Stegostoma tigrinum: one gene and its partners. The protein of the gene in region 2 binds, or shares a complex with, the protein of the main gene of each other region. Links are inferred from orthologs where the notes say so. Each region holds a gene or a part of one and is shown on either strand. Other genes may lie near its edges.

Region 1 (3,752 bases), on a different chromosome or scaffold from region 2:
CAATATAATTATTACACCTTGAAGTTTAAGTGAACTCTATTTAGTTAAAACATTATGACATGCTAAGAATAAAGAACTGCTTTGAAATGCAGTCACTCTTAGTAGATGAATGGCACCGCCAATGTGCACTGCAAAATAAACAAATAAAGTTGGATCAACTAATCTCCTTGTTGATGGCAGTGGTCAAGGGAGAAAATGTGTGCAGGATCCCAGGGGAATTTTCTGGATTTACCTGGATGTGTCTGGACTTGGTTTGAGTTACAAAGAGAGGTGGGACAGATTGGGTTTTTATTTCCCTGGAGCGTTGCAGACTGAGGAATGACCTTATGGAGGTCAATAAAATGTGGTAGGGAATCTAAAACTAGAGGGCAAAAGGTGACACGGAGAGATATAAATGGGTCCAGAGGGCAAATTTTGTTTCACCCACAGTATGATGAGTGTATGGAACAGGCTGCTAGAGGTAGTGATGGAGTCGAGTACAGTTATGTCATTTAAGAAATATTTGAACATTACACGGATAGGATAGGTTTGAAGGGATATGGACCAAACACAGGCAAATGGAATTAGATTAATTGTGTAAACTGGGCAGCACGGACAAATTGGGCCAAAGGGCCTGTTTCCATGCTGTAAGCCTTCATGACTCTAAGTATTGCCATGGAATCTTTCTTCCTGAATCATCAGAGCAGGCAGACAGGGCCACAGTTTAACACTAAATCAGAAAAACTTCTGTTAAGAAAATTAAGAAAAGAGAGACAAGCAGATTTGCATTTATACAACAGGACTGTTTAAAAGTTATTGAACTCAAAATGTTAACTCCGCTTTTCTCTCTACAGATGCTGCTGAAATTCTCCAGCAATTTCTGTCTTTGCACCAAGGATAACCCCAATTCTTCTTCAAAACTGGGTTCTGGATTTGTTTATGTCCGCCTTAGAAAGTTGCCTTAGCCTTGGTTTAACATTTCATCCAAATAGTTACACCTCTGACAGTGCAGCTCTCCATCAGTACTGCAATGGAGAAACAATCTAGATTAAGTGGAACGTGAATCCACAAAGCTGCATCTCAAACATGAGTGTGGAAACAACAGAAATACAGTAAAAAGAAAATAAGTAACTTAATACAAACAAAAACTTCGTACTATAGAACAAATTTACAAGGAAACAGAATCAGTTAAATGATGAAAGGTTTCAATCCTATCAAAATTAAATTTTGACCAGATTTTTCTTCAAATGACCAAAACATTGATTTTAAGTAACAATGCTGATGCTGGTTATCATATTAAATCTCCGTTCACACACTTAGATTCGATATTATAATTAACATGAAAAACTGTTTTAGGCCAGGAGTTCGTAACTCGATCAGTGAAAATTACCTCAGTGTATAATTTCACCAAAAGGCTGAAGAATTTTTGAAAAGTCTGTTTGCTTGTTTCAGACACTGACTTTTTCCCCCCCATTTTTCAGAATTGTGAAGAAGTGTTAGAAGGATTACCAGGCTGATCAACAACCTGTTCAACCACACTGTGGATGTACTTCCTTCATATCACGAACATTCCTGTGACCAACAAGTCTTGGAGTGGCCTGAACCTGTAGCTTCTAGCTGAGAAGCAGGGGCACTATTCACTGAGTCCATCATTCCCATTCCTAATCATTAACATTACTTTATGAGAGAATTTAAAACAGTCATTTTATATTTAGTCATTGTTTGCCCAAACATGGATTGGTGGTGAGCAAATAGCATCAGAAGATCATGGAGCTTTTCCTAATGTGTCTGCTGTTATATTTGTATTACATACATTAATTTAGGTGGATGATATTGCCTTTTGGAGGCAAGGATTCACGGCCTTTGGGACCAAGACAGCAGTTGAAGTGTGGTGGTGTGAGAATGCCAGCATTTCCGGGAAATTTTCACAAATAAGTTTGAAGACATGTGTTGTGCATCAGCTAATTGCGAGTGAGTCAATGTTGTTGCCCTGGGGTCCTAGCTAAGCTAGATGAAAGCAGCTCAAAATTTAAGATAACGAAGTGTGAAGCTGGATGAACACAGCAGGCCAAGCAGCATCTCAGCAGCACAAAAGCTGACGTTTCGGGTCTGGGCCCGAAACGTCAGCTTTTGTGCTCTTGAGATGCTGCTGGGCCTGCTGTGTTCATCCAGCTTCACACTTTGTTATCTTGGATTCTCCAGCATCTGCAGTTCACATTACCTCTGCTCAAAATTTATTTCAGTTAGCATTGGGACAGACTGATCTAGTGTACATTTACACTTCAAATTTGTGCTAAACTCAGGTTTCACACTGTTTCATTCCAGAGTCAAGATTATGCCTAACATCTAGACTCACACTACCCCTTTCATCCAACACTAATTGGAATAATCCTTGCACATGCTAATCTGGAGTAGGTACATATAGAGAAACAGATCCACCATATTCATAAAATTAAAAATGCTATGTTATTACAGAGTACAAACCTAACAGATTAAATGCAAATTGTTAAAACTGTAAAGTTCCATATGTATAACAGGAAAACGCTGCACAAATGAGATGCATGTTAAACAATTTGTTGATTACCTTTATTTCTGGATCATCCAGTTGTGTCATCAGCAAATCATAATCCACAGTATCTCCCTAGGGGGAAAAAACTCTTTTGAATCAAATTTACAGAAAGGTGAGAAAATTTCTTACACATTTACCTGTTTAACTTATTTTACCTGTTTATATTTCTTTAAGATTTCTGTAACCGTTCCACCAAATCTGACAGCTTTCCTTGGTGGGGAACTGAAGAACTCACTTTCTCCCAACATTGTCAAATGGAAGCCTTCAGGAACATAGGAAGAATTATTTATACATTGTAAATGTATCCCTCTGTAATCTCTTTTAAATCAGTTATCGTACTGTCTTCAAAAGAATCCACCCTTGATCCTTCTGCCAAGTCTCCCTTAACAAAATCCATTCCAAAGTCCAGCACCTCCAGGTCTTCTCTTCTATCTTGATCCCACTCTTTCTGCTTCTATCAGGACCTGCCAATTCACAAATTCAATCCCCGCCTGTTGCTCCCACATCGTTAATACTATCCCTCTAAACTTAGCTTCCTGTCACGTGCCATTCTCTCTCAACATACATGTAATCACCCTCTGTGACGTAAGGTGTGAGATGTTATTATTATTTGAGTTTGGATCTTGAACTAATGGATTTTGGTCTGTGTGTTTACATGCCTTAGTGATTAACTTGTCAGCATTTCTGAAGTCATGCTTTTTTCAAAAAAAACTAGCATAAGAGACAGACATCCTGAAGTGTTCAGGCAAATTTGTTTGCATTGGGAAAGTGTGACCAGCGGTAGAGTACACACTGAAGAGCATCAGCATGCTTTCTGTTAGAAGAGTCAGGAGCTTTTTGTATTGGCTTAGGCAAAAACACCAACACTTGGAAGCTTTTGGTTTCTGTTCGCAGAAATCCTGAATGAAGGCAGATGTATGAAACGGTTTCTCTGGGAGAAAGGAATTAGTTCGGAAAAGTTAGGAAATAAGTTACCTTAGCGTAAGCGTTTCAGTTAGAAAAATAGGATCGGAGGTATTTGGCAGACCCTGAAACTAAGGAAATCTAAGCTCTGCGTGATTACTCAAGGAAGAAGCTATCAGATGATCAAGACCAGGAATTGAAAGCAATAATTAAGTCAAACCCATAGATGTGATTGAGACAGGAATTCTCTCTGGTGTTTGAGATGAAATAGTGTTCTTTTCTGTTTTGAAATCTTTAAAGT
Region 2 (3,752 bases):
ACAGACTTTCACAAGGTGCTTGATACAGAGCCACACCACAGATGTGAAGAGACTTACAGGACATGGAATAAAGGGGTGTGTAGCAAAGTGGATGCAAAATTGAATGGGTGAAAGGAAACCTGGAATAATGGTGAAATGATATTTTTTGGGCTGGAGAAAGACTTGTAGTGGAGATCCCCAGGGCTCGGTATTGAGGCCCCTGCTTTTCCTGATAATATATATTGGTGATGTAGTTTTTGGTGTGCCTGAAGCAATTTCAAAGCCATTAACCCAGACAGTCAGCTAATGTTCTGGAGACCTAGGTTCAAATCCCATTGATCACCATGAAATCATTGTCAATTGTCAGAAAAACCCTTCTGGTTCACTAATACCCTTTGGGGGAAAGAAATCCATCATCCTCACCTGGTCTGGCCTACATGTGACTCCAGCCCCACAGCAATGTGGTTGACTCTCAGTTGCCCTCTGCAATGGCAAGCAAGCCATTCAGTTGTACCAATCACTACAAAGTCTCAATGAAATGAAAATGTATGAAGCATCTGGTATTGACCCAGGCACCAGAAAAGACAGCGGCAGAGACCACCCTACCAAGCTCCTCCTCATCCTGACTAGGAAATATATTGCTGCTCCCTCACTGTTGGCTGAGTCAAAAATCCTGGAACTCCCCCCCAATAACGTTGTTGGTCAACCCACTGCATGTGGACTGCAGCAGTTCAAGAAAACAGATCATCACCACCACCTTCTCAAGAGCAACCAGGGACAGGCAATAAATGCTGGCCAGCCAGCAATGCCCACATCCCACAAATGAATAGGAAAAAAACTGTGACCATTCCCTAGTCAAAACTTGTTCTACACAGGTCTCTAGGCATTCTCTAGGTTTCAATGAGATCTCCTCCCATCTTTCTAACCTCCGTCGAGTACAGACCCAGAGTCCTTAACCCACCCTTCGTATGATATGGATGTGCCTGTGTTGGATTGGGGTGGGCAAAGTCAGAAGTCACACAACACCAGAACCATCGGATGAAGGGGCTACACTCCAAAAGCTTGTGGTTTTAAGTAAACCTGTTGGGCTATAACCTGGTATCATGTGGCTTCTGGCTCTTCATATGACAAGCCCTTCATTCCTGGGATATAAAAAGATTGAAAAAGAACTAACTCAAACTTCCCCCTTGAGCAGAAATATTATTGAGACAGCAAAGTTTCACCTGATTATCTCTACATTTCATCTGAAGTTCCTGTGTAGAATCTAATTTTATGAAATGCTTTTCAACTCAAAACAAATATCTGATAGATTTGTGATCAGAGAAAGTGGGAACTGCAGATGCTGGAGAATCCAAGGTAACAAATTGTGGAACTGGATGAACACAGCATGCCAAGCAGCATCTTAGGAGCACTGCTTGGCCTGCTGTGTTCATCCAGCCCCACACATTGTTACCTCTGATAGATTAGTATTACCTTCCCTGCAGCTATTCCTTCTCATAACTGGGGTGCCCTCTTGTAATTTTCACTTTCCACTGCTTGAAAATTTGACTCATCTTCCACCATCTATGAAAATAGGGGTCAGGATTTACCTTTCTGCACTCAAGCCTGTTCTACCACTCAACAAGATCACGGCTGAGATAACATAATAGTGTGGAGCTGGAGGAACACAGCAGGCCAGGCAGCATCAAAGGAGCAGGAGAGTCGACATTCCTCCAGCTCCACACTGCAATGACTTAGATGTACGAAACACGTAACCACGTTAAATGTGTCCAATTTTGGGCCCCACACCTCAGAAAGGACATACTAGCCCTGGAGCGTGTCCAGCAGAGATTCACATGGATGATGCCTGGAATGGTAGGTTTAGCATATGATGAACGACTAAGGATCCTGGGATGGTACTCATTAGAGTTTAGAAGGTTGAGGGGAAATCTAATAGAAACTTACAAGATAATGTATGGTTTAGAAGGGGTGGATGCTAAGAAGTTGTTTCCGTTAGGCAGGGAGACTAGGACCCATGGGCACAGCCTTAAAATTAGAGGGGGTAAATTTAAAACTGAAATGAGATGACATTTCTTCAGCCAGAGAATGGTGGGCTTGTGGAATTCATTGCCGCAGAGTGCAGTGGAGGCCGGGACGTTGGATGCCTTCGAGGCAGAGATCGACAAATTCTTGATCTCAAAAGGAATCAAGGGCTACGGGGGAAGAGTGCAGGGAAGTGGAGTTGAAATGCCCATCAGCCATGGTTTAAATGGCGGAGTGGAATTGTTGGGCCGAATGGCCTCACTTACACTCCTAGGTCTTATGGATGTTGTTTGGCCTGCTGTGTTCATCCAGCTCTACACCTCGTTATCTCAGATTCTCCAGCTGCTCTAACCTAGCAAGCAGTCTTCAGTATTAACGGCGAGGCGTCCCCAGCATGAGGGAGACCCAGTACAAGTATGTTTGATTGCTTTGTTGTTCCAGCGTGAGGTGGTGCAACGAGCCGTTACTGCCCCCATCTCTCCCCAAAGCTGCTCCCCAGGAGGGGAGGCGGCGTTTCCCGCTCCCGCAGTTCGACCCTCACCTGTTGGCCCCCGCCCTCCGCACAGAACGGCTGGACATGTTCATACTCTCCCCAGCCCCCTGGCTCCCAGGGGTTCCAAGCGGAGGGACCGGAGTTGTAGAAGCTGGGATAAAGGGAGTACGGGAATGCGCTCTCCATGCCGCCGTCGCTGAGCCCGTACGGCACCCGTACCGAAACCCGACTGCGCGTGCTGCCCGAAGCGAGGACCGACTTCCGGCGGATGCAACAATGAGGGGGCGGGCCCTTCACGGGCGAATTGTTCGACCCGCCGCGGAGCCCAGCAGCGCGCGACTTTGCTGTGGGTGCTCGCGGACGCCATGTTGGTGAGGGCGAGTGAAGTGGAGCTCCCTGCGTTACCCAGGGCAACGGAACGCCCTCCGGCAGAAGCCGCTCCGTGGGTGTGTGCTTGTTCCGAGAGCACCACAGGCTGTCTAGACTTGAACCGAACACAGCTGATGCATCCTTTAACCAGTAATGCAACTCCCCACCTCTATTGCTTCCGCCTCTGTCTCGACTAAAGCATCGATATACTGGAAAGTTAAGCTTCCAATCCTATCCCTCTTTCAACCATATCTCTGTGATTGCAACAAGATCGTAATTGTATACATTAATCCAGTTTATTTGCCTTGCCTGTTATACAACTTGCATCGAAGCAAATGCACTCCAAGCCTCCAGTTCCGCTGAGCTCCGCAACCTGTCCCTGACTGCTCTTACTCTGAGTTATTGTATCAGAGATAATGCGAACTGTTATCTTGGATTCTCAAGCATCTGCAAAGTGTGGAGTTGCTAAGATGCTGCTTGACCTGCTGTGTTCATCCAGCTCCACACTTTGTTATGTCTTCCTCTGCGTTATATTTGCTTTTGACTCAAGCCCTTCCCCAGCCTGTATATTTACTGACTTGCTACTCCAGATCATAGCCCCACCACACTAGTTTAAACCTCCCTGCCAAGATATTGTTGCCCCTCCAGTTTAGGTCCAATTTGTCCTGCCTGTTCAGGTCTCCCCTTACCTGGAAGGCATCCCAATGACCCACTTATCTGAAGCCCAAGCCCCCTACACCAGTTCTTTAACGATAACAAAGTGTGGAGCTGGACGAACCCAACAGGCCAAGCAGCATCTTTAGCTACATATTGAATTGTAATGTCTCTGTTCCTAGCCTGAGAAGCACATCGCATGGGGAGTAATCCTGAAATTACTATTTTAAGAGAT
Region 3 (3,752 bases), on a different chromosome or scaffold from region 2:
ACACGAGCTCACAAGCAATTCAAGGACTTTGGAAATGACATAGAGGATGAAAGTGGAACTGTGGCTTGCAAGAAGGAGTCATGCTTTAAATATTTTGGGGAGCTCAGTCTTCAATGGAAGTTGGTAGAATATTTTGTGTCATTCAAGTTGACAGTGTAGACATCATTCTTTCCCTGAGCAAACTTAATCTTTGCCAAAATTTCAGCAGAGGGAAAATTGAATCCTGTTTCTTTGGTTGAACAAGAGTTTGTTTGGAAACACACATACTGAAAATATTGCTAGCTAGTTTGCTCTCATGGTTTACTTTCACTGTCTTTATTATATTTTTAGTCCTCCTTTGCTGGATTCTGAATTTATCCCAATCTTTGCGGCTATAACTGACAACACTCGCTGGCAACAAAGCAGTGAGCACATTTCAGTGGAAAACATGGTGTGAGGGCTAAGGCAGGCACGAAGACAGGAAGATTTTCAGTGAAAAAGTTGCAATAACTGAGGTTCTCAACGAAAGAGAAGCTGCCAGAACAGGCAAGCAGACAAAGATGTGTTCTGGTGATAATGATATGGAGGTACGTGGTAAGTCTGAAGACTGCGGAATTTCTTGCCTTACGTGACATACCGCACTTAAAAGCAGAACATTGCGGATGCTGGAAATCTGCAAAGTGCTGTAAAAACTCACAGAAATACTCATCAGGTTAAGCACCTTTCGTCTTCTAAAATGTTGCCAGTCCGACTGAGTTGTTGCACGCTTTGGATTATATTCAGTCGTAGAGTTCAGTATTTTGTTTCACGTTGTCTGTGCAAGTGGTTTAACACGTCTTTACCTGCCAAGTCTTATTGGTTTGATCTTGAATCGCCTTTTATTCTTGAAAATAAACATTGGTTTATTTCTACAAGTTCAACTAGATAAGCAGTAAATTCCAAAAAAAAACCCACTATGCATAATCGTCATGTTTGTTTGATGGTAAAATGTTTGTTTGAATGGAATTTGAACACATCACGATAACTGTAAATGTTAAATACATTAAAGCGGTGACTATGTACCGGTTGTTATTCTGAAAATATTTTTACTGAGCTTTATCCCAGATCACGAATAAATACTTCCAAGTCACTACCCCCTGTTACTCAATGGACAAAATCGATACTCCCGAATGCGGATGGCTGCCTTCAGAGAAAATGCAGCAGATGTTCAACATGACCCCGGAAGGAGTTTTAGATTGTCAGCACGTGGGAAGTAAAACTGTCCTTTTCCTATGATTGGAACGTTACCCTGGGAATGGAACGTTGCCCGGATGGGGAACAGAATCCTGAGCGTGCCCAGGCAACGGGGTAAATGATGTGGAGGAGATTGTGCTGAACGTTTGGTCACTACTGAGGAAAATCTTTTGGTGTTATAACTGCTTAATCAGAGGAGGGGAAAAGTGATCAGAAGGTGCGTGGAGACCTTCATTGGAAGTTCTTGAAAAAAAACTTAGTATTTGTTTAGCTTTTGAAAACTTCGTGATTTTTATGCTTTCGTTTTAAAAAAAACTAAAACCGAAATAGCGAAGAAATGATGGTGGTATTCAGCCGTAGAGTTCAGTATTTCAAGTTGTCTAGAAAGTAGTTAGTTGTAGAAGGGGTTTAATTTTTTTGCGTATTAATACCATCACTAAAAGGTCATTAGATGCAAAAAAAACAGGAAATTGCATTTGTTTATACTCCCATCACCTTATAGTCTTTCTTCACTTCTAATTTATTCATCCCTGTACTACTTCATATATTTATCTCACCTCCCCTAATTGCATCATTGCCAGCCATCTCTGATAAAATGAGTCTTGTGGAGCACTGGTTGCCTGTAGGCTAGAAGGCCTCTCTCTCTCTTTCCTGTGAAAGTACTTGAAGCCAAATAAAGTTGATTGCGTTATCCTGTCAGTTGCTGTAAGCTGTTGCATTACAGCAATAAGTCAGAGATTTTTTAATTATGAACAAGCCGCTCTGTGTCTCTTGCAAAGTAGAAGAACCTGAAGGAAAAATTCAGAGAACTAAAGGCTTTTGGAAACAAAGTTAACAATGCATCAAATCCTAGGGACTGATGCTTTGAACTGATTGCCACAAGTTTTCTTCATTCCACTGATGATACTTTTTTGTTTCATATTTGTTTTGGTGCTTTTTGAAGGGGGTTAAAAGTTTAGCTAGTAGTGCTAGCCTGTGGTTCATATTTGTTTATCTGTTGCTGGAATCAATCCATTTGTGATTATATAGTATTTCTTGTTAAGTGGAGAAACCGACTGTGTGTTTTCTGTTAATCTGAGTCTGCAAGACAGATAAACTGGGGACTTAAGTAAAAGCGAGTTTTGAGAAGATTTATAGCTCAGGTTGAGGTTCTGGATGTGAGTTTGCTCACTGAGCTGGAAGGTTAATTTTCAGACGTTTCGTCACTTTTTTTTATTTGAAAAAATATACTTTATTCATAAGATGTACAAAAAATAAAACACTTATACACCTACCCAGTCATGCAAGCCGCTCCGGGTTACCCAGGGGGTACGTACACCAACTAAAGGAAAAAAACAAACAAAGAAGAAACAAAAAACAAAGCAAAGAAAATACCCCGGCAGTCGTCACCCCGCACAGTCCCAGTTGGCCCCCTGACCAGTTGGGGAAAGCGCCAGCTGGGCCCAGTTACCAGATAGGGTTCCTTTTTCTATTCAGGACGAGGGGTTTCACACCGTGGTCTTTCCCCACCGCGCATTGGCGGCGGCGGCTGCCTCAAGCTTTAGTGCGTCCTTCAGCACGTAGTCTTGGACCTTGGAGTGCGCCAGTCTGCAACATTCGGTCGGGGCCAGTTCTTTCAGCTGGCAGACCAAGTTGAGGGCAGACCAAAGAGCGTCTTTCACCGTATTGATGGTCCTCCAGGTGCAGATGATGTTGGTCTCGGTGTGCGTCCCGGGAAACAGCCCGTAGAGCACGGAGTCCCGTGTCACGGAGCTGCTCGGGACGAACCTCGGCAAATACCACTGCATCCCCCTCCAGACCTCCTGCGCATAGGCACACTCCAGAAGGAGGTGATCAACAGTCTCGTCCGCCCCGCAGCCATCTTGAGGGCAGCGTGCAGTGGCGCAGAGATTCCAGGCATGCATAAAGGATCTCACTGGCAGAGCCCCTCTCACCACCAGCCAAGCAATGTCCTTGTGCTTGTTTGAAAGTTCTGGCGATGAGGCATTCTGCCAAATGACTTTGGCAGTCTGCGTGGGGAACCACACGACGGGATCCATCCTCTCCTTTTCCCGAAGAGTCTCGAGGATACTACGTGCTGACCACTGCCTGACGGCCTTGTGGTCAAAGGTGTTTCCTTTCAAAAATTTCTCCACGAAGGACAGGTGGTACGGAACGGTCCAACTACTGGGAGCGTTCCGCGGCAACGAGGCCAGGCCCATCCTTCGCAACACCGGGGACAGGTAGAACCTCAGTAAGTAGTGACACTTGGTGTTTGCGTACTAAGGATCTGCGCACAGCTTGATGCAGCCGCAGACAAAGGTAGCCATCAGGGCGAGGGTGGCGTTTGGTACGTCCTTTCCCCCGTTTTCCAGGTCTTTGTACATGGTGTCCCTACGGACCCGGTCCATCCTCGACCCCCAAATGAAGTGGAAGATGGCCCGGGTGACCGCAGCGGCGCAGGTCCAGGGAATAGGCCAGGCCTGCGCCACATACAACAGTACCGAAAGCCCCTCGCACCTGACAACCAGGTTCTTACCAGTGATGGAGAGGGACCGGAG

Evidence for each region.
Region 1: taf1c (region 2) and rrn3 share a complex: the UniProt entries of both Homo sapiens proteins name them as parts of the pol I pre-initiation complex. The link is inferred for Stegostoma tigrinum from reciprocal best matches to the Homo sapiens genes TAF1C and RRN3.
Region 3: taf1c (region 2) and taf1a share a complex: the UniProt entries of both Homo sapiens proteins name them as parts of the transcription factor SL1/TIF-IB complex. The link is inferred for Stegostoma tigrinum from reciprocal best matches to the Homo sapiens genes TAF1C and TAF1A.

What each region holds. Positions count from the first base shown.
Region 1 is NC_081376.1:51,356,459-51,360,210, reverse strand, and holds the start of rrn3 (RNA polymerase I-specific transcription initiation factor RRN3), read right to left. Parts: upstream 2,806-3,752; 5' UTR 2,797-2,805; coding exon 2,704-2,796; intron 2,621-2,703; coding exon 2,564-2,620; intron 1-2,563. UniProt on the Homo sapiens protein: Required for efficient transcription initiation by RNA polymerase I (Pol I). Required for the formation of the competent pre-initiation complex (PIC).
Region 2 is NC_081354.1:138,937,291-138,941,042, forward strand, and holds the start of taf1c (TATA box-binding protein-associated factor, RNA polymerase I, subunit C), read right to left. Parts: upstream 2,814-3,752; 5' UTR 2,681-2,813; coding exon 2,543-2,680; intron 1-2,542. UniProt on the Homo sapiens protein: Component of the transcription factor SL1/TIF-IB complex, which is involved in the assembly of the PIC (pre-initiation complex) during RNA polymerase I-dependent transcription.
Region 3 is NC_081362.1:52,741,216-52,744,967, forward strand, and holds the start of taf1a (TATA box-binding protein-associated factor RNA polymerase I subunit A), read left to right. Parts: upstream 1-1,237; 5' UTR 1,238-1,429; intron 1,430-3,752. UniProt on the Homo sapiens protein: Component of the transcription factor SL1/TIF-IB complex, which is involved in the assembly of the PIC (pre-initiation complex) during RNA polymerase I-dependent transcription.